Lepisosteus oculatus: one gene and its partners. The protein of the gene in region 3 interacts with the protein of the main gene of each other region in a biochemical or structural test. Links are inferred from orthologs where the notes say so. Each region holds a gene or a part of one and is shown on either strand. Other genes may lie near its edges.

Evidence for each region. The genes of interacting proteins can lie anywhere in the genome.
Region 1: the proteins of fgfr1a (region 3) and anosmin-1 form a complex in vitro, tested with the Homo sapiens proteins (3 studies listed by BioGRID and IntAct, with this or other methods). The link is inferred for Lepisosteus oculatus from reciprocal best matches to the Homo sapiens genes FGFR1 and ANOS1.
Region 2: the proteins of fgfr1a (region 3) and fibroblast growth factor 8 interact in a biophysical measurement, tested with the Homo sapiens proteins (2 studies listed by BioGRID and IntAct, with this or other methods). The link is inferred for Lepisosteus oculatus from reciprocal best matches to the Homo sapiens genes FGFR1 and FGF8.

Annotation. Positions count from the first base shown.
Region 1 is NC_090708.1:22,445,383-22,452,209, reverse strand, and holds the start of anosmin-1, read right to left. Parts: upstream 3,017-6,827; 5' UTR 2,943-3,016; coding exon 2,751-2,942; intron 1-2,750. UniProt on the Homo sapiens protein: Has a dual branch-promoting and guidance activity, which may play an important role in the patterning of mitral and tufted cell collaterals to the olfactory cortex. Chemoattractant for fetal olfactory epithelial cells.
Region 2 is NC_090699.1:35,823,302-35,831,228, reverse strand, and holds the start of fibroblast growth factor 8, read right to left. Parts: upstream 3,017-7,927; 5' UTR 1,932-3,016; coding exon 1,900-1,931; intron 1,813-1,899; coding exon 1,776-1,812; intron 392-1,775; coding exon 211-391; intron 1-210. UniProt on the Homo sapiens protein: Plays an important role in the regulation of embryonic development, cell proliferation, cell differentiation and cell migration. Required for normal brain, eye, ear and limb development during embryogenesis.
Region 3 is NC_090697.1:72,342,232-72,350,121, reverse strand, and holds the start of fgfr1a (fibroblast growth factor receptor 1-A), read left to right. Parts: upstream 1-4,890; 5' UTR 4,891-4,907; intron 4,908-4,934; exon of another isoform or gene 4,935-5,641; 5' UTR 5,642-5,705; intron 5,706-7,657; exon of another isoform or gene 7,658-7,715; intron 7,716-7,890. UniProt on the Homo sapiens protein: Tyrosine-protein kinase that acts as a cell-surface receptor for fibroblast growth factors and plays an essential role in the regulation of embryonic development, cell proliferation, differentiation and migration.

The DNA of each region.
Region 1 (6,827 bases), on a different chromosome or scaffold from region 3:
TTTCAGCTTTCTTGTCGACAAATGTTTGATCTATGCATTCTTTTAAATTGCGCACATACCCAGGTGTCAGTTACTTTGTTAGAATAAAACCCTACCTGGCAGATCACTCTGTTGTAAATTTACTAATGAGGTGTAGTATACAAGATTGCATTAACAGAGGAAATGGAAATGGTGTATGGAATTGAGTGCTTTGGAGAGGTGTGACCTTGTACCATTTGGTCACCAAAGACGATGGGTTTGTTTTTGCAGCTGCCCTCTCCTTCTATGTCCAGAATGCTTCGGCAAGACTCAGAGTGTGTCACCTGTAACCACTGTTCCTATTCCTGGCAGAACCAGTGTGTTTGGCCAGATTCAAGAACGTTTTCTGGATAATGTTATAAATAGCCTTATACGACAAGGCTTGTCAATTTCTGCAAGTAAAAAAGTTACTGCATTTGAGTATTCTTATATGGTTTAGCTTTTTATTTAGAATTCAGCTTTTGTTGGGAATTGAATATTAAAGGCGATCAAGGTAATGACAAGACTTGCTGTGAGCCTAAGGCCACATGACCAAAGGCAATTAGTTAAGCAGACAGCGTGGGAGCAGTCTTCCACACTTTCAGTGTATCAGAATTGAAGAGTCTATAGCTGAATTGTTAAATAAATGAGCACTAAAACGTATCCAGAGGGACAGGAAATTAATATGGATTCCAGTTTAACCATTTGCTTTCCACTGGCTGCTATCACAATTCAACTGAATTACTTTTTTGCCTTTTGCAATTAATTGCTCTGTGAAGTTCTCTTCATATCTCTGCAATGTTCTTTATCAACTTTTACTCTGGTTTTCAATTTCACTAAACAAAACAGCTATTTCAAACAAACATCAGTCACTGTCATACCTGATTACAATTTTAAATTAACTAATATGACTAATATGAACACGTGGAGAAGTGTCTAAATTTTATTTTTTAGTTAAACAGAATATTTTTTACTAAACTCCTACATCATCTTTTTTTTTTTTAAGAAAGCCTGTATACCATATACAGATCATTCAATAAAGCGCTAAAAGTCTCCTACAAATCCTTCTCGCTGAATTCCCGAGAGGGAACACTGTGTCCACTGAAGGGTGCAAAACATCTTCTGACACAACATACGTACTCAACCCAGAAAGGATTAAAAACTATTCCTTCTCAAATAATCTGCTCGAGACACTACACCGCACCCCGAGTGCTTTAGAATAAAAAAAAAAACATCCCCGGTGCCCGATACTATAGTAGGCTTTGCCATTCTCCGTGGAAAAAAAAAGAGACCAGGTGTTGAATTCCAGTACCCATAGCCATTGAATTTCCAGTACAAAAACGTTTGTGGGATGAAAATGGAGGATGACTGCTTTAAAAATAAGCAGAAGTGGGATCATTTATGGTTTTAGTCATTAAAATGTTAAAAACTAGTTACGTGCAACAATTAAGAATAATAGATGCTGTGGACCCCATAATTTTGCCTCAAACCGCAGGAGGCAGCGAACAAACGCAGTCAGGCGCTGCTCAAGCCTGCAAATTAGTTTATGATGGAAATGAAAAAGACACCGTATAACATCACCTGTTAATCACTTTTTTAAAACTTTTAAACTGGTTTCTTTTAAAGGATATAGACATATTTAAAAAATAACCACATTAATGCATCTCACTAAATAGCACTGTAATAAAACCGTGTTCATCTAGGTGTAACAATAAAAATGCCTAAACTACTTATACATACTTGCTACAGTACATTAAAATTGAGTTACAAATATTACTACCCTTCAAACCTTGAAGAAAAGGTTGCAGGGGAGTTTTTCTGTAGGCGATTGTTATAAATAAAAGATTTCACGTTAAAAGCAATCTTGAAATCGCATTTATTTTTTTATTCAGTTATTTATCCTCGGCGTCAAAGTAGCACATGCGGACAAGCTACTATTAAGCCATTTATCGAGATGAAGTTAACGAGTCAGTAACTCAAAAACCGCTACAGACGGACAAATCCCGGTAGCGCATTTCTTCAACTCTATTAATTCACAGTTCAATTGGATTTTTTTTTAATTTACAGCTAAATATCACTTTAGTCTTGCATTTTATACATTCTGTTTTAGAAAAGTGTCTAAAGTCAACAGTTGTTTAAATAAAATGCCTTCAAATAGTATGCGCTAAAAGGTAAAACGCATTAGATTACAATTAATAAACAAAAGTAAAAAGGGGCGTCCAGTCATTAGTATTCTCTTTCATGTAACTTAATTATTACGACTCACCAGCTAAGTCTTCACGGACATAGCGAATACCCCGATAATCACAAAGCGCATCCTTAAGAAGCAGTGCCAGGACCAGTAACTCTGCTGCATATGCAGGATTCAGTCCTCAGTTTCTACAGCATTAATTCAAGCTCTTTCCAAAACTCTTCATTAACACTGATCCCTCTCGGTAAACTTTAGTTAAAGTCTTGGAACTTCAGAAGTCGAACAACTCATTCGCCACTCTTAGTTCGATAAAGGGCTTCTGAATTTTGGAACTCAGACATTGACGTTTCAGCTCCGATGCTTATCGCTCTCAGTGAATGATAATGAACAAGAGCAACAATTAAACGCGAGCCTTCGGACAAGCGTCAGGGACTGCTGATGCGCGCTCAGCAAGAACAGCTACTTGGCAACTTAATATGCTGAGAATAATAACACATGTAACAATCACATTTCACTATGTATCCACCATGCATTCATTAAAGATTAATGAAACGTGATCTACCTGGAAATGTTTGAAAAAAGCAGAGATGCGAGTGAGGTGCAGGCTGAGACATCTCGATGTGCATCTTGCTCTGTAAATACTGGCAGTGAAGAAGGACTCGTCCTGCTTCCTTGCAGCGACGCTATCCCAGTTCCATGAGACTATAATCCACAATAACAGGGTCAGATACACACTGGGATTCCTTACAAACATTGTGTGACCGAGGTGCTTTTATCTGTGTACTCTGATCAAGCTAAACTGCGTGATGTCCCTGCTGGAGAAACTAAAGAAACTTCACTAATCCACAGAGGAGGAGTCAGAACAGCATGTGGCGCCCTATTGGAGGGGTTGGGGTGAGTGGCAGTTCAGGAAAGCTGTCGAGCTGGTAAGTACGAAGTCTTGAAACGTTACAGGAAAAATGTTATGAGTATGTAATTGAGGTCTGAAAGCATCATTCCGTTGCGCCATTGCCTTAATATTTTTTACCTAAAAATATTTTTTTTTATTTAACGTCACACGGCGGAACATCTTTCATAAAGATTATATCCTGGCAACTCTCAAGCATTTTGTCATTTTGTGTAGTTGGAAACCAGATGGCCGGACACCACACTGTTCCTGCAGTTCTAGCGTGGGGCTGAAAGAGTATCCAGACAAATTCTAGATAACGGCTTTGATCATATGAGATCGTACTGGAGAATATATTAATAAAATAATCTTTGGCACTTTGTATCGGTTACGAAACTAATGAAAGGAGTAAAGAATGTCGAAAGCCACAGCTGGTTGTTTAAAGACCAGCATTTCACCGAACAGCAGGTACCAATAAGCAAATGAAATCAAAGCGAAATCTGTATGGAAGAACTATCTATAGCATGCAACAGATACATGTGGAATAACGGAAAGGTATTAAAGGTTCTTGGTCTGATTAAACCCCTGGTCAATATATTAAACTGAACCAAATAGTATACTGTATCCGGGCCCTGCTGTAAAATGAAGACTACATGTACAGTAGGATTATATAAAGCCTGAATGAATGAATACAATCGCACATGAAATCAATCTTCACGATGAACCCGACTCGGCAATAAAGGAGAATTCTGGGCAACGCTGATGAGACAACAGTACATTTCTGTGATACAAGTAGTGCTGAGCGAACCAAACCTCTTTAAAACAGAATAAAACAACAAAATTAAGTTCTTCTTTCACTTTGGAATATGGTCGGCAACAAATAAGGCAGCCAGCTTTCATACAGTGCATGTTCAGCGCAGCTTTCATACCTGTTATTAAGGCAACGGGGAGTAACAATTTATCAGATTATTGTAAATTAGAAAAACACACATACAATGAAACAAATTAGGTTTTAATAGACTCAAAACAAAAGATTTAGATGCCCACATTTTTGCATTCTTAAAAAAATCTTACTCTTTAGAAAATACTGTATTAAAACTGTATTGTGTTTTAATTATCAACGACCAATCTTTTCACATTTTAAACTATGCATTTGTAACACATTCTGTTGGGTCATCCTTTTCCCTCTAAGATAAAGTTATTTAAGGTTTAGAAACATAGTTATGAAGCTCAGTCTACATCATGCCAACAGGCCCTTATAAAAAGGCGCTTTTAAAACGTTTAAAACATACACCTTATAGGGCATCCTCACTGGATGTTGTTGTTTGGTTACAGTGCACATGATTGTTTCATGAACTAACATTGAATATAATGTTTCTCCAACATCTGTAAATCAGTTGGTTTATTTTTGTTATTTTTTTGTTTACAGTTGACCTGGTGTTATATGTCTTATGTCACAAAATCTCCCCTGATTAGTAACATCTGATCATTTCTTTGTGTACTTTTGTAACCAGTAAAAGTGCAGCCCCACAGATGATTTTATCACTGCGTGCAGAAAAAAAATGACAGTTCTGCTTCAGTCTTGTTAGTTGAGTCATGTGACTGTCGTCCTCTGTAATTATAAGATAATTAGAAAATGTCCACAGTTCAGTGTTCTTTTGCCCTGTCTGCAGTTCATAACATTAATGATTTTCTTTTATTTGCTAACAGTGGTGATTTTCTCCCAGGCAACATTGAAGATGAGTTTTGTTAGTTGTGTGTGAATAAACATCTGTGCAATGTTTGATAGATACACTTTTGTTATCGTGTTTTTTTTTCTCCCATGCAGATCTATTGAAAACCATGCATGACAATGTTGGGCTTGTATAGTGATTTGTTTCCACTGGAATACTGGGGTGGAACATTCGTGTATCGAGGTCTATATGCAGTAGTGCATCGCTCTCCATACAGCTGGTATGGAGAGCGGTCATTTCTGTGGTGTTTTGTTGGTATACCTTTGAACAACCTATCAGAAATGATTATTAGCCTTCCAGACCTGAGATGTTATACTTGGTAAAAAACTAGTCAGTATTCTTACGACACCCTGTAAGCAACCTTTGTGGGTTTTTTTCTTATTACAGAGTGGCTCCAGCATCTCAGAAAGATTTCCTTAAAGAAATTTGTCTAGCAGAAAATGAGCAAAGAAACAGCATATTTTGCCTTTAATATCTTTACAACCCATTCTAACAAACGAGAACTAAGTACTCGTTTCATATTCATGTATCTTGTAAAACAATTGCATGAATGTGAACTTGAAACTTTTTTTCTGTTTTTGGGTGTCCCACTTTAAGTATTTTTTTTAATTAATTAAATGAATATCTGTGGCACCTTGTAACCCTCGCTGTCTACTGACATCTCTCAAAGTGTTTGATCCATTGCCTTGAGCAGAAAAAGAACAGAAGAAAAACGGACTCAATCTTTACACAGGTTTGAAACAAGCACGTGTAAATAAACAAATGCAAAAAAGCAGTAGATGACATATATTGGTAGTATTCCTGGTTGAGGTTTCTTGGAACAGAATTGGTTGCACTGCAACTGTGGCTCAAGTCAATTTGCTTCTCAATCCCAACACAGGTCAGGCCCGTACCTGGATGGGAGACGTTCCGGGAAAGGTAAGGTTGCTGCTGGAAGAGGTGTTAGTGGGACCAGTAGGGAGTGCTCACTCTGCAGTCTGTGTGGATCCTACATGGATACTATATTGTAAAAAGGTATAAAGAGTAAAACTGAGGTCCTCTATACTCATTAAAAAGCCTATGGCATTTTTTCAAAAAGAGTAGGTATGTTACCCCACTATAACATACCCCACTGGCTTTTACCAATCATGGCCCCCTAACAGTCCCTAGCTCTGAATTGGCTTCATTAATCTGTTCTCCTCCCCACTGGTGTGTGGGGAGCATACTCGCACACTGTGGCTTCCGTCACATTATCCAGATGGGTGCTATACATTGGTGGTGGAAGAGGAGAGTCCCCGTTCCCTATAAAGTGCTTTGAGAGGATTGTCCAGAAATACCCATTATAAATGTAAGAATTATTAAAGGTCACTTGGGGTATGAAAAGTAAAGAAAAGGCAGTGCACAATCTCAAATGAAACAGCAAACATGAACTCGATTTTAGTTCAAATCTCTGGCTTTTTCACGACAATTGGTTCTGAATTAGCATGCTCCCTAAATAATTTACCATGAGGTAAAATATATCCTACCTCCAAATATTACTTTCATTTTCTTGGTTGATACAGATCTTTTGTGTACAGTGTAACTGCAATATTATAATGTAATAAACCCAGCACACACAGTATGATTAAATGTAGCCTAGGAAGGGACAAAAACAAAGAGCCTGTTAACCAGCAAGCTTCATTCCAAAGCCAGAAATGCCTTCAGCTAAAGATTTTGAGAGCCAGATTCCTCAGTCCTGACATTTCTAAGGAAACAAATCCTTTAATACTTTCAAGTATATCCTGGAAAGCAAACATATATTGAGAACAGACAACGGTATTCATACCTTTCACAGAAATAAGTGAATAAAGTATTTTTAAAAGAGCTTATGTTAAGTGTTTTATAGCTACTATTTTCCATCTGCTGGCTAGAAATCTGAGCTTTAACTTTCTTACACTAGGATGTTTTTACAGTATTTTACTGTTCCTTGCTGTCTTCCAGTTCTGCCTTCTGTGTGATTTAAATATATTTTTTTGTTACTACAGAGAACAGTTTATGAAAA
Region 2 (7,927 bases), on a different chromosome or scaffold from region 3:
TAGTGACTTAGACAAAACAGATGTACTTTCCAGCGGCTCATGTTATTAAAACACGCGCTGTGTTCACAACCACATTTGATGAAGCTGAATCAATTAGCCTCTATTGCTTCACCTATGGCAAGTTTCAGTCATAAATGTTTGAGAGTGATCTCTGGGTGGCCCTTCCCCCGTGCAGGGTCATTTGTGTATTTGAAATACCAGAGGTCTTACCGTGTGCGTCGCCGTCCTCTGCCATGGCATTGATTTTCTTGTTCCCCAGAACTTGCACGTGCTTGCCACTCGTCCGGCTGTACAGCTGGTAGGTCCGAATTAGCCTACGGCTCACCCGGTCAGTCACCTTACTTTGTTCACTCACATGCTGTGTAAAATTAGGCGAGGACTGAATGGTTACCTTTAAGAAATTAAGAAAAGAAATATACAACATACCTTTACATATCTCTTGAAGAATATCTGAACCACCCCCCCCCCCCCAAAAAAAAAAATAACTATATACAATGATATGTATATTTTCTTCAACTATAAGTGTAAGGATTTAAGCAAATTGACTCTTATTCTTAAAAGAGATTGCCCTTAAATACATGCGTACCCTACATAATGACCTAAATCTTAGAATTAAAGTACATTTAATATAAAAACAGTTCAAAGACAAAAGACAGGACATTGTATATGGATTGTCTTGTGGAAAACTTTTATAGGAAACAGAAAATCACTGTAACCGAGATTGTATTGTCCGGAAATATGAAATAGGAATTTATACTAGCAGTCCGTGTGCAGGATACCTCGGTTTGTCTCAGAAGATTAGCACCGTATATACGGCTGATCTTTAAACCTGTTACAAGAACAGTGTACTTTGCATGGATTTTGAGCAAATGTTCAAGGGTGATTCTCTTTTCACGTCAACTCGAGGAATAGAGAAGATATCAAGCTGGACTCCCAATAACCCATGTCAAATTGAGAGGTCTGCTTTAAAGAAACAACGGGGACTGGTGAATGAAAACTGGCCTTAATAGTCCCCCCTTGACCTTCTCCACAAACCTACTCTTGGCACATTTATTTCTGCCCTAGCTTCTCCTTTAAGACGAGGGGCAATATGGTTAGAGAAATGCCTGCCAGCTTGTGACGAGTACAGCATGTGGCGAGACCGCTGTCCTCACTCAGTAGGATCTCCATCTGATATATTGTTATCCTACCAATAAAATTATCTTACACCCTCTTCTCTTTCTACCTGTGCCGTATTTTTTAACGATCCTCTGTCAATTTTTCAGCCATACGCCAGTCCCATCTGTTTTAGCAATCGCATTTTTTCTCCTAGTTATACGGGTTTTCAAGATGTGTGTGCAGACATATATATATATAGGCACACACATTCACGTCATTAATATTCTAGAATAACAGTGCACTTCCTTAAACATATATATTTACTCCAATATTTATTACTATTTTCGTTGAGAATCACCTGACGTCTTAGAAACATGTTTCACTGTACATATCGTGAAAAGCGATATGCTGATAATTCACTGATGTCATTATGACAATTTAATACAAATGCCATATTTACGCCCTCCACGGATGACAGCTCTGATACCAAAGTATATTGTGTATTCAGACATATACTCTGACAAAGTTAATGAAACGTTTCAAGTGATTTATAGTCAAACGTAAATAATATATTGACTTTTACTTTATCTTAATTCCAACCGTTTCATCTGAACAAAGTCAATCCATATACAATATTCTAAAACATAATTAAAAAGCAGAGTCTGGTAGGGACATACCTGAGCATGGAAGCATAAAGCGAGGAGGTGAAGTATCCTGGAAGAGAAGAAAAGAAGATAGCTGAATACTTAAAACATTTCAGAAACATTATAAACAAATCAAGGATAAAGCAAATGTACTTACAGGTAGCTTAATCTTGAAGGTATGATCCTCATTTTGAAGTTGCTTTGAAATAGTAGAAACAAATGAATGGCCTGATTGTCCTTGAAGATTATTTAAAATATGACAAATTTGCCCCCTTCTGCAATTGAAATAGTTCAAGAATCCCTCAGTACCTTTGCAGGAGATAGCGGTTCTTATCTGACAAACAACTGAAGGGAGATACTGTTCAGCCCAGTGGCAACTGTCGTAGTATTTTTATTTCTTCTTAATCCTTGCGTTAGAATAAGGTGAAATATTATAATTTTCAGCAACCCACAAAAAACGAACAATTGAGAAGATAAGAGTGACAGGAAAAAAAGAAAATATCTATCAAATCAATGTCTTTGAAGACAGCGGAGAAATAATCCGTTTTAAGACAAGGATCATCCAATGTTATACTCTCTCCCCCCTAACAGGTTTAATTCATTGACAGAATGGGACGTTGATTGTTCATAAAAGCGTCAAAGTCAATTTATATCAATAATTTAAAATTATATATAAATAAAAAACGTGGACAACGTGTATCCACCAGAAGCACCTTTCAGAGCTGGACGAAACGCTTGATGCCGAAAATGCAGAGAAGAGCGTAGAAAAGAAATAAATACGCATATATAAAAACCTCCAATGTATTTCCCCAGAGTTAGTTGCAGTAAGTACTGTATTTTACGTGTCACGACCACACTGAAAAAAAATCTTTCCCAGAGAAAAATCCTTGGCGAGGCGTTTCTGTTTGGTGAATCACTTCTTTTTCTACTGTCCTGATAAATTTGTTAGGATCCTGTAGTGATTTTCCTTGAAGTCGGTCAGTAGTGGCAGTTTTCGCAATCCCGTTTGGTAATAGTAGCCCTGGGTGATGTTGCTTCTGTGAGCAGCAGTGTTTGACTGAGTCCTTATCCAGTCCCTATCCCCTCCTCTACTCCCATTCCAGTCTCCAATGTCAACCCCCTGTTCACGCCTGCACCCCTGATTAAAATGGTAGGAAGATCCTCCGTACCAGCCTCCTTTTCTTTCGCTCTAGAACAATAGCTGCCCCCAATCAAAATATACCTTCACCTGGACAAAAGCGAACACTTCAGTGAAAACGGGAGGAGCTATAACATATCCAAAATAAAAAAAACGCATGTAGGTAAAACGAAAAAATACAAAGGTCAATGCTTTCAAATGAAACCTGAAAAGATACACTTTTTTGTGAGTGTGACAGAGGGATTAGATGGACGTTCGCTAGATAAAATAACATATTTTACGACGGCGATACATTTGACTATAAGCCTAAATAATGGAAAATCTTCCAAACGGGAGTAAAAAAATGTAGCCTAATTTGAAAACTTTGGGAAAAAAAGGCACGTTTCGAGCCTTATCTTATATGGCTGACTTTAAAACTTGACAAGCGTAAGCTATTTTGTTTGAAGTATCAAAAAAGAAAAGTACATGTAATTATGAAGTTCTGATGATTTTTAAAAGAAAATAATGATGCCCAGTTGATGCAGAAACACTTTGATAAAGCCGACTTGTGTATTGGGGTGACGTTACCAAAGAAATGTGTGAGACGTATTAAAGGGATTACAAACGTTACAGCTTTAAAAAACAACAACACTCACGCCTCCCCAGGAATATCACATTCTCAACTATTTAAATTGCCCTGTTCTCGCCTCGTCTTTTCACATTTTCTAAGACGCTTGCTGGAGCTCCAAAATGATACGAGAAACGCAGAACAATCCAAGGAGAACGGTTATTAAAAACACATTAAGGGGAAAAGGACCCAATTCTAAATCCCCAATTATATAAAGTTTCCATCCAGTGTAATCTAGTGTCTTTGACACTAGTACTCTCACACTTCGTAATCAGGACTTAATTCCATACCACTCACTATTGATAAGGCTAATCCAAATTTGTAGCTTGTCTATATCTATAGGACAGGCAAAGAGTAGAAAAGAAGCTTTGTCGTTCAATAACTCGATAGCGTTCATATGCTTCACGTCAAGGAAAATGAAACGCTGTATGAGGGCCAAGGGTAAATTAAGATACATTATGCAACTTTCTAATTTTTTTCATTGAGAGACTTTATATTTTCAAGAAAAACGACATTAACTTTAAACTACCATTTTATTAAGGAAAGTTATCATTGCTTCTTAAATGATGGCTCAGGTCATGATGAATGTATCCATGATTGTTGTTTTTTTTTTAATACTGCAAGCCAACCCAGACGGTTTTGTTTAATAACTCCTCTAGCTAAATGACGGGCTGCAAAGTTGATTTAATCAGAGCGATGTGGCTTTTAACGGCCTTTTTTACCCTCGTTAATATCTATTATTCTCGTAAAACCAGAAGCCAATAGTATTGTAGCCTTACCAAAACAACGATTAAGCCGATTAAATTTAAATGCATTTATTAAGAATACTTATACCGCAATAGTTATATGAATTTCTGAGGGGTTGTTCCCATTTTTGCAACTTTTTTTCAAAAATGAGAAATTATATCTTGCATAAGAATTCAGCACAGCTGAACTTCCATCATTAAGTATGCTCAAATGTTTTTTTGAATCCACGAGCTTTACAATTAAAGCAGCACCATATATACATTTTGCTGTTTTAAACAAGGATCTTCAAACCTTACACTTACCAGAGGATTTATGAGTAATATTATATTCTTTTGAAAAAAAATCCTATATAAACAATATTTTCAAAGTTAGATTTGCCACGTTCAGTGTGATATGTTGTATGTAGCGAATTTCGTTCTATTCTACTGTGTGAACACAGGTAATAATTTCTAGCTTCCTTAAATTGAAAAGGCTGAACCCGCGCGGACCAACTTCGGAGAACAAAACACCACTACCTTTCATACAGACCTGAGAACCGGCCAGTTCGTCTTTTTAAGATCCTATTCTCCTAGACTCTTGTGCCTAGCTGATTGGCAGGGATGAAGTTTACTGTAAACCTGCGATGTGAAGCTCCTGCTTCGTTCGCTGCTGTCCATCTTTTCTTTATCTTATCAAAGCCTATAATTGCCATTAACATTTTGTTTCCTAAATGAGAAGAGCTATCTTTTCACCGACTGAAAAAAAGTAACGAACGCCTGTCAATTTAGCGCAACCCTATAAGGTCCACAAAAGTAATTTTTGACCCCCAAAGCGACTAAAGCTGGCACTGTTCAGCACCCATTAAATGTCCTTCAGGACGGAGTGTTCAAATTGAAAGACATCGGTTAGTCTACTTTTGACTGATCGCTGGTAATCAATTATACCAAAGACTGCAATGCCCGAGATGCAAATTGCTCTTTGCAGGTACTCGAGTTAATTAAACACCTATTTGCAAAGAAAGACAAACATGCAGGTACCATCTCTTCTCGTCTTTGTAAAGAAAGGCTGGACACTGGGACTCCCAGTTTCGTTCTCTCGCACAGAATACAGGGCTTGTATCTTTATTATCTGGCATTGCGGAGTTACTTGTGACTGTTGCTGATTTCAGCTGTTCAGCTGGTTATGCGAACACATGAAAAGCGCAAATACATCTAGCGTTGTAGCGCGTGAATGACGGTATGAGAGGGATCATAAAATTAAAATTTCTACATACCCCCGGGAGACGAAAACGCAAAGAGCTCCGCTAAGTTTAATTACAATTATTTTAAGAAATCTAAACTCTTATCAGCTCTGAAACAGATGTGCAACTCCCCACCAACACAAATAAAAAATATAAGTTTGATATTTTACTTTCACTATTATCTCCAAGAGTAATGAATACAAACCAATGAAAGCAATTCTAAAGCCTTGTTTTAATACTGCACATCATTTTGATTCTAGCTTCCCCCTCCCCCGATACCGTTTTATAAAAAAACATGACTGAAAATACAGTTTATAAATTGTTTTGAAGAACCTTATTTTACAAATCATACAAATTGCGCGTCTTTACTCTCTGGGACAGAAAAGGCAATTACAGCAAATTCAACAACGCCATAGGCTCCCCTTTTTAAATGTCTTTACGGTCATTTTAAAACAAAAAAATAATACTGCTAATAAATTGCAACGCTATATTCTTTCCATGGATTAAAAAACAAACAAATCTTGGGCGATGTGTGTAATGCTGAAAGCTGGCTCTTGAGCTCAACTCTAGATCTGCAAAGCATGTAATGTAGAAGTAATTAAATTAACCTTTAGATCACGCGTACTTTGTTAACCTAGCTGCTGCTCCGCCCCTAGGCCGCTAACTAACCTAAATGTGGCTTGAAATTATTTGGATAACTAACAGATGTGCATTTAACATAGCACAATAACACAATACAAATTAAAAAGTAGCTTTGTACAAATACACTTATGCAGTAAGACGTTTACTTCTTGCCAAATTTAATGTTTGTTCTAATTAAGATATTGATATGTACAGGATACATTATTATATTTTTAATTGACAAACATACGGAATTTTTATATTTTTTAACCTTCTGAATGCGAAAAGCAGAGAATACATTGACAATAGTACGTCTTCACTTTTGTTTACAAATTTATCATGATAATTGATTAGAAATGTAAAAAAAATGGGATGTGAACAAAACAGCAATGATAATGCAGTGAAGGGAAGTTGCTTAGTCATCAGAATTCCTTTAAGTAAACGAGGCACTCGTGAGAAACGCAGTAATAAAGATTGTCCGCCAGAGGGCAGAAGTAATCCCTATTGCGTAAACGTTTAGATAATATCCGATAAGCGGTAACTCGTCAATTAAAATGATTTTGCTTCAGTTATGGATGAGTGCTAGTTTTGCAGTCTGAGATATCAAACGCGTTAGACCAATATATATATATATTTTAAAACAAAACATCACAAAAGACACCATGGCCCCGCGTCAGGAAAAGCAGATTAAGAATGGATGCATAGATCAGAAAAACAAATGCACTCCCGACGCCTTTTTAATAAGTAGTTCATAGATACGTAGTGCCTTTACCTTTCTCTATAAAAACGGGTGGGTGGCCCACATCACACAATGTTGACTGCTACCACATTCGATGGGAGGAGTGTTAGGGCCGTGACAGGGCCTTGTTCTTTTGATTTTATGACAGTAGTGAGAGGTAAAAAGGGTGTATGTAGGGGAGGGGGATTTGCCAGTCACTTGGGAAGTCCTGAAAGCATTCCCTGAAATCAAACAAGACTCGAGGCCTACACATTGGCCTCTTCTTCCTCTTTCAAGAATTGCTTTCTTTTAAAGCCCCAGTTTTGTTTTTTTGATGTGTACGGTTTTTTTTCTCTCTCTCTCTCTCTTGAAGTGGCCCGATATTAATGGCCCATTCAAAAGTCAACACTCATGCTCCATGGCTGAGCACTTCTGCATAGCCTGAGGCCGGGCCGGGCTCCCCATTAACCCCAAAAGCAGCCGCTCTGCTGCTCCATGGCTAACCTGTCCAGGATGACTAACATGGGAAATGGGTTTTCTTTTCGACCCACAGCACATAAAGCACTCAAAGGTGGGTGTGCGGGGGGGTGGGGGTGGGCTCCTGAGGTAGAGACTTTCACACACAACGAACAGAAGCAAACACTAGCAATTCTCAGCGCAAATAAGCCCTAATAAAGATTTCCCACCCTCACGATATGTCAGTGCTAATCGCAGACTGCACAGAAACTGAGCCTATCATGAAGAGATGCTCGATTGAATCACAATTGATTCAGCTCCATGACAGTGAATGCTCTGGAAAAAAAAACCCAGCTCCTTAACATCTTTGTCTAAAGCGTTTCACTCATTTTATTTTGGTTAAAAGCTAATCTGAAAGGAGAATAAAAACTCGGCAACAGTTCCTATGTACAGTCTGGGATATTCCTGTGGACCTCTTCGGTAACCATTAAAACCCCTCTGCCCCAGCGCCCACATCGGCTGGTTCAAGAACTTTCTGATTTCAGACATCATTAAGATCAAATGGGCTGTTAAAGTGCGAATGGTTTCACAATCAGGCGTGTTCTGTCAGAACTCTTAAAAAACAAGTTAGAGTTTGCTGTCGGACCGAAAACCAAAAGCCGGTAACAAAAATAATTGC
Region 3 (7,890 bases):
AAGACATATGGCCTCCTAAAGAACAGGAAAAACTGAGTTTCCAGTCTCCCTTTAAGTATGCAGTATTATTAGAGAGAGCTGCATCCAAACTTTACTGTCTGAGAGAGCTTCCAACATGTTAGATGCCCCCTGGCCTCCAGGCCAGCCAGTCCCCTCCGCAGTCTTTTAGTAGTGCCCCATGCCCCTCTAAGTTCCCTGTACTGTGTTAACAAATCAAGCAGTTCCAGCATCTAGCCAGGTAAAAACACTTGCTCAGGGGGTCCACAACAGGCAATAACTCCATTAGAGCTTCACTGACGCACTGGCGAATAAAAAGATGTCATTAAACACTCAGGGCACCAGGCAGGGGTGTGCCATCTGCAACATTCTTCTGTTACCTCCGGACCGTATACAGAGGAAAGTCTGGATGACCATCACCCCCAGTGCCTTCCCCACCTCTCTCTCTCATGCTGCTCATTAGCCAGCCTTGGGCTGTTTCACACCTCATTGCTACCTCTATTTGCTGCAGTATTTGCTGATAAGCCCTCTTTAGTAAGTCAATGGGACCCATTCAGAACATTCTGTCTGCTTTCCAGGGCAACAGGGCAGATGGCAATGGACAATTAAAGACATTTATTTAAGCTTTTTTGGCGTTTCGGAAAATGGCTGTAAGCAAATACTTCTATTCTTTGAAGGAAATGTATATGTGGCTAGAAATAATTTCTTCTTCAGATGAGAAGCTTGTAACATGTTCATGTTTTTCAAGATGGTTTACTGGTCCCTGTTGATTTATTTTTGCAGACCTACAAACTACTCATAGTTCTCTGGGCTCTGAACAGCTGCCCCCACACCAGAGGAAACTAAATGCAATTTGTGTGTAAATGAAGTGTTAAACGTGCCTTAGAAATGTATTCCATTAGTACTTTATGTGTTATAAATTTTCTTTGGAAAGTGTTTTCTGGTGTTTTTTTAACGATTTTCAATTAATATTTGGATTTTCTGCCTTAAATTACAAAGCAGTGCATGTAGAACTATGAACCAGTCAAAGAGGGCTTTATTACTTATGTTTTTATATTAGTAATATTTATAATGTAACTGTGGTAGATTGCAGAAATGTGTGCTGACATTTGTAAACAGCATTTCTTTCTTTGCACAGTGACTGGTCCCTGAAGATTCCATATTCTTTTTTTACCTAACTTTTTAAATTGCTAGTTATTTTTTATTATTATATTTATCAATTTTAGAATCTCCAGTTGTGTGTTTTTCACGTCTGGACTCGTGACTACGACCTCTGACACTGCACGCTTGTAAGAATGAGGGGGCGCAGTCAGACTCCTCCACACAGCTCGCCGTTGAGTCCCCTGTCTTTACCACGTCACAGGCACCCAAAGGTCACTGCTGGTTGGAGGACAACTGCATCCCTCGCTGGCAGCGTCCGCTAACCTGTCCGTCGTTATGTTTGCCAAGAGCCGGGGGAGCCCAGACTCATTAATCCCACCCTATCCTGAACTGCGCACAGACCTCACGTATCTCTTGTCTGGGTGACGGTGACGTCAAGCTCTGTTGACATCAAATTCCCTGAAGCTAAATAGTGACAAAACAGAACTTTTACTGGGGGGCAGTTAATGCCTCCTGGAGAGCTTCACAGTTATCACGGACAGCTTATCCGTTCAGGCATCAGCCTTACTCTGGAAACTGGGAGTCGCACTTGGGCCTCTCCTGACTTTGGCTCCGCACGTGAAAAATTAGACTAATATTTTCACCTAAGCAATATTGCCTGCATTAGATCATTTCTATCAGTGTCCGATTGCTGAGGGCCCGATTCATGCATTTATACCATCGAGGCTTGATTTCTGCCACTGTTTACTCTATGGGCTCCCTAACACTCTTCTCAGTGAGCTCCAATAAGCCCAAAACTCTGCAGCTAGACCTCTAAGTCACACCAGATCTCGGCAGCATATCACTCCTACACTTAAATCTCTACATTGGTCGCCTTTAAAATGATGTATTAAATATGAGATCTTCTAACTTTGAAGGCTTTAAACAATCTGGCACCATCTTACATCTCTGAGCTCCTCCATGTTTACACTCCTGTAGGCTTTGGTCTGTTGAGGCTGGTCCTTTGCTCACTGTACTCAGGACTAAATCTCTCACTATTGGTGACCGTGCCTTTTCTGTTGCAGCTCCATCTATATCTATATCTATATCTATATCTATATCTATATCTATATCTATATCTATCTATATCTATATCTATATCTATATCTGATTGCACTACAGTCAGATTATTGTGTATGTTCTTGTTTTAATGTCTTGAAAGCCACTTTATAAATAAAAGGAAGAATAATGGATGGTTTAAATGCCTTCTTCTTCTTAGGTGAGCAGGATAGTTTATAAGGAAGAAGTAGAGGTTCATACATGCTGAAAAGAGAAGAAAAGAAAGACAACTTTTTGGCTCTGGACTCTATTATAGGTGTGAACTAATTGAACTACTTAAGGCCAGGATAGTTTATAGCTCAGGATAGTTTCCAACTTCTAATAAGCAAAAAAAAAAAAGAATTTGCTGTCCTTTCTTATGCAACCTCTTTCCCCTTCACATGTACAGTATTTCATCCTGCAGTTTGGTGACATTCCTCTCCTTGACACTCTTTTGTTGATTATTTTATTTAGTATATTTTATGCACAGTATAATACGCTTAATGAGAAATAATTTTACCATGCGTAATAAAACTGTAATTTTCCTATTATATAGGTGTGACTTTAAAATATGCTATATATAACGTCATAAAAATATTTAAATTATAGAATTACACACATAATATATCCTTCAATATAAAAGATATGTTTAAATATATAAGTGCTCTTGAAGGATAAAATAACTTGGCTACATCTGGCTGTGATGAAGGTCTGTAAAACGAGTCCTGTCTAGTATCAGTCACTCTAATAAAACATCTGGCAGAGGCGCACATACATCAAAACGTATTGAGAGCACAGGAAGACTGCATTTGGGGTTATTATCTGGATTTAGTCATATTTTAAAAGGCATGTGGTAGTGTCTGGAGTTTCACGTTTCAATTTATAATAAATACTTTAAAGCATGCGGACAATGCGTGCCACTACCTGTTCGAAACGGAGAAGAAATTCACGTCAAATACAACGTATACCACAGAGGTATGGTGCTTCATAATAGCAATGCTAGCACGATCGAAGGGAACGGGTTAAAAAACTTAATCCACAGATTAAGGTTCTTATCTAAATGTAAACCCCAGTTTAGGCTTTTTTTATCTGTACTTTAGACTTGGTCTGAATTTTCAAAGTGAAAATTTTACTTATACATAGGCCTGGTATCGCTAAGAGTCAATGTATATTAAATTGAATTGAATTGTACGTGTGCATCATCTCATCTTGATGTACGACTGTTGCAGTCGACCTCTTGTAAACTGTGCAAAACAGCCTTGGACCGTTTAAAAATAATGAACTCGATGAGGCAAGTAATTAAACAGAGCCACTGACACAAACTATTACGGAGCCGTTTAGCGTGGTTAATAACTGAAAAAAGGTTAACCTCTGTTAATACAATTATTAAACATCGCCGGGTGGTATTATAATTATTAAACATCGTCAGGTGGTATAAATATAGCATACTTGATATGTTTATCTTTGTGGTTCATCAAAGATTAGGCACCCGAGATGCCTGACATGATTGTAAGATTCGAATAATACGAAATGAATGTGTTCATTCAACCTTGTTTCATATAATGCTAATTTTATCTGAGTAGCCTGGGTTACTGAACGGAACTGGCTTCCTGTAACGGTTTTTGTTTAATCAAGTTATCAAGTAAATTAAGTTTCGATCAACAAATTCGTTGAACCTGTCGCCCTCGGCCTCAGCTGTGTTGTTTGCAAAACCGACCGATGCTCAGCTGCTTTTTTAAGACGTTTCTGGTTTTAACACAAAAGTATGAATGGAGTTTTATTCTGTTCTATTATTCTGTTGTTGCGCCGAAGTAGTTTTTAGTGACAGAACATACCATATTCAGTGAGAAAGTACATACAATTTTTAGTAAGAATATATACAGTTCCTTACCCTCTGTATATTTAACACGGTGGCGTTGCCATCCCGTATTTGACCCTTATGTTGCTTTAACTACATTTTTAACTACATTCATACACATTTTTGAAAAGGGTGGAGCTTCAGCAATGCCAAATAGAACAACATTTTCAGAGAGATGTTGATAAAAAATGGTCAATCTTTTATAGAACGTCTTTTTATACAATACTTAAAATGCAGTCTAATTCCTTTGATGTCAAGATGCACGAGATTATGCTGTCTGTATCAGCATTACAGTACTGTATTTCACGAAGAGCAGTTTCATACAACCACATCCGATAAGTTAGTTTCTATAATATTTAAGATTATTAATGACATTTCAAACAAACTCCACGGTGGCGCAGTGGGTTAGCATAGCTGCATTTCCCCGCTGGGGCCCTGGGTTCATTTCCAGACGTGCGGTACTGTCTGTGTGGGGTTTGCGTATTTCCCCCGTGTTCATACATCTAGCTGGACATGTGATAAGAAGAAAAATCAAGAAGATAACTTCAATCTAAATTACAGAGGTCTGTGAGAACACAGGTAACAAAACTCACTATAATTAAGATGTAAACAACATTTGTGAGCCTACTTCTTCATATTATGGACGTGAGAAAAGTATTATAGAAACGAAAAACGTGGATACTTCGCAGTTCGTCGCTGAACGAATCACCATGCGCAGGGTTTGGGTCATATACTGAGTGTATATGCCGAATAGTTCGGCAGTATTGACATGTTGGTTTACTTTTCCGCTAAAAACTACATATCCCAGAATGCCAAGCAGAGGGGGTTGAGTCTCACTTGGGCATGGAGGTGTTGGAGGATGGCTCGGAGGCAGGTTAGCTCAGTCGATGTGATTATGTATTCTCCGTATGATGGTAGGGGGCAGGTTTCCATTAGTTCGGCTCTTGTTGTTTCTGGAGCGTTTGAACAGTAGGGGGGAGGTCGCAGACAATCTGCGATGTGAATGAGTTCGGAGGAGCGAACGAAATAAGGAGATACAGCGTATTTAGACACGGGGCTGAATCATCAAGCTTTTATGTATCAAAATTCATTTGACTTTCAGCCTGAGTAGCTCAGGAGCTGATAGGAGCCTATCTCAGACGCTGTCTTAAAAAGTTATCTGGAAGACGGTTATCTTTGTGGGAATCTGGCTTCTTTCAAACAATAAAGAAGTGGAGCGCAGTTTTTTTTCTCCTTCACGTTATCACCACAAAAAAAGGTGCACGGCGTTTCATGAGCTTCTGCGAAGATTACTTTTCCCTCTCCAAACTTTGCGTATTTACCAGCTGATTTATAGGGGGGAAATACGATATTTTCTCCTGTTAACAGAAACTCGTAGTTTGGCTGTTCCGCGGCTTTGCTGTGATCTAATCTCAAGAAGTTTTTTTTTAACCTATGATCTGAGCTCTGATTTTCAGGAGAAGAAAGCTACTTGTCGATTCGTCTGGTTCTCCTTCCCCGGTATTTGCTAATTAACTTTGCGGAAGGCATTTGCTTTTTTTGGTACATACCAAGCCAGTTGTTTGGTACTGGATCTACAATAATGCAAACTTTCTAACGTCTTATAAGGATTCAGTTTCTTCTCCGTGAGAATCCCGGCGGCGCATCGTCTTGGAACTACTTGGCAAAAAAGGTAATTATTTTTGGAACTATAACTGAGTGAGAAAATATCTAATTCTAATTCTGATGTCAAGAATTTGTCAAAATCCGTAAGTTTTCATAATTTTATGAGCAATTTTTAAACACAAACTCAAAATACAAAGGATATTTCTGCCCCGGTCCAACATATGATTTTTATGTAATTCTGCAGTTTCACACGTTTTAAGAAATAGTGCGAATATAATGTGTTTCGTAAATATTCCCGTAAGATGCACGGAATTTTTTGAGTCTCAGTGGTTTTCGTATGCTTTGTAGCCTGAAGCTAATATTCTTGGAAAAAAAAGAGTTCTTGTGTTTTGGCTAATGTCCATCAATGCCAGATGTAGAACGCGTAATGAAACAGAACGTGCACTGCTTATTTAAGTGGTATAAATGGTTTTAGAAAGAAATTCTGGACTCCACAGTACCTATTTAGTTAAACCCGTAAAAGAAATGCAGTCATGACATCCAGCCTAAGAATTAATCTTGGTTAACACAGGAAAAGTGTTAGCGGGTGACCGGACTGTTGGTATTCCCTGAGGTGAGAGATACTTAACACGTTAAATTCGAAAAACGAATGCCCGTCAATAGCCTTGTCTAAAGTAAATGCAATTTAAAAACCAAACGCTGTTACGTTCTAGTGATACATCGCGATTTGTTGGTACGGAAGACAAAATACTGGGAATTGGAACTCATTTGGTTCAAAACGAGTGTCGACTAAGCGCGTTTGGACAACCCGTTTAATTTTTATTGCGAGCAGGGGGTTCATTGTGCCGTGTTTAACTTTCGTTGAAATGATCTGGCATATCGAGGTATCGCCGGCAACGAATGAGTTTTTTAAAGGCCAGTTTAACGGGAAAGTCTTTTTTGGGGGAGGGAGGGGGATGCCTAAGACGTTTCAGAGCCAGAAAGAATCATGGAAAATAGCAGTCAGGTTTTTGGCTCGCGGGACGGTTAACTAAAGAAGGGATTGAATTGGAAACTTTTTTTTTTCCCCTAGCTTGATCTCAGAACTGCGTTTCTCTCGATATCCCCCGTGACGCTGAGTGAAGCGCCTGGCCTTTTGGCTTTTGTATCCATTTGTTCCAGGCGGATCACAGGCATTTCACACGTTGCCTTGTGGACCAGCGTGGTGTCAGTCGCTCGCCTGAGGAGTCCCAACACTTGTTGCGTTTGGTCACTTGAAGGCACAGGGCTCTAGCAGAAGTGGGGGGTGGGGGTTATGAAGGCAGTACTGGGCTAGTAAGTCATTTAATTTAATTTTTGTTAGTATGTTAATTCTAACAGCGCCTCAGCCCTCACGAATGACTATTACAGCGGGCCGTTTCCCTCCACATTTAACGAGTAGTAGAAGATGGATTTTACAGAAGCGCGTCAGCACTGTAACGCTTCTACTGTTAAAACTGAAAACTATCGCCGGAGGGTCTGTTTACCTACTAATGTTTTATCTCTTAGTTTTTTTTTCTTTCTATAAGGATTAAACGAGGAGGAAATGTTGTAAAAAGGGCTTACTAACGTAACTCTAAGGGGGCAATGACCAAAACGTGCCCTGAAGAAAACAGTGAAAAGGCGCTTTGACCCGAGTGAGCTAAATATGAGTGACCAACGCCGACAGGGCCTGTATTACAAACAGATGACCAAAACACTCTTGATGTACCCTTGTTGTGTAAACACTGCATATCAATTTATGATATGTTGAAATCGCAAGCAAAGCCTGGTCCATTACACGGATTTCGATCCCTTTTAAGTGTAAGAGCAGTATCAAGGTGTAATTCTTAAGCGTTTACTGTTAAGATATTGAAATCTCTAAGACTGTCAATGATGACCTTATCTGTTTTGTTTTGTACGGTATTATAACAACGCGTCGTGAGTCTGACGTGACAAGTAGCGCGTCTTTTACCAGGTTTCTGGCGAACTTTCTGGTGGTTTTCAGTAGATTTCGTGGGGGAGGGGACGGGGGTTTGAAACTGAATGACGCACCGAAAAAGGGTCGAACCCAGGCATGGTAATGGGACACCTTTATTATTTTTAAAACTAGACGTTTACAGTGTTGATGATCTGAGCACGTATGTACCTGATACCTTACCAAAAGAGAGCCTATGTTATATTTTAACTTCAAGTCCTTTCCATTTGTGTTCATATGTCCATTGGAATCACTAACTGTATCAGTTTTCAAAATG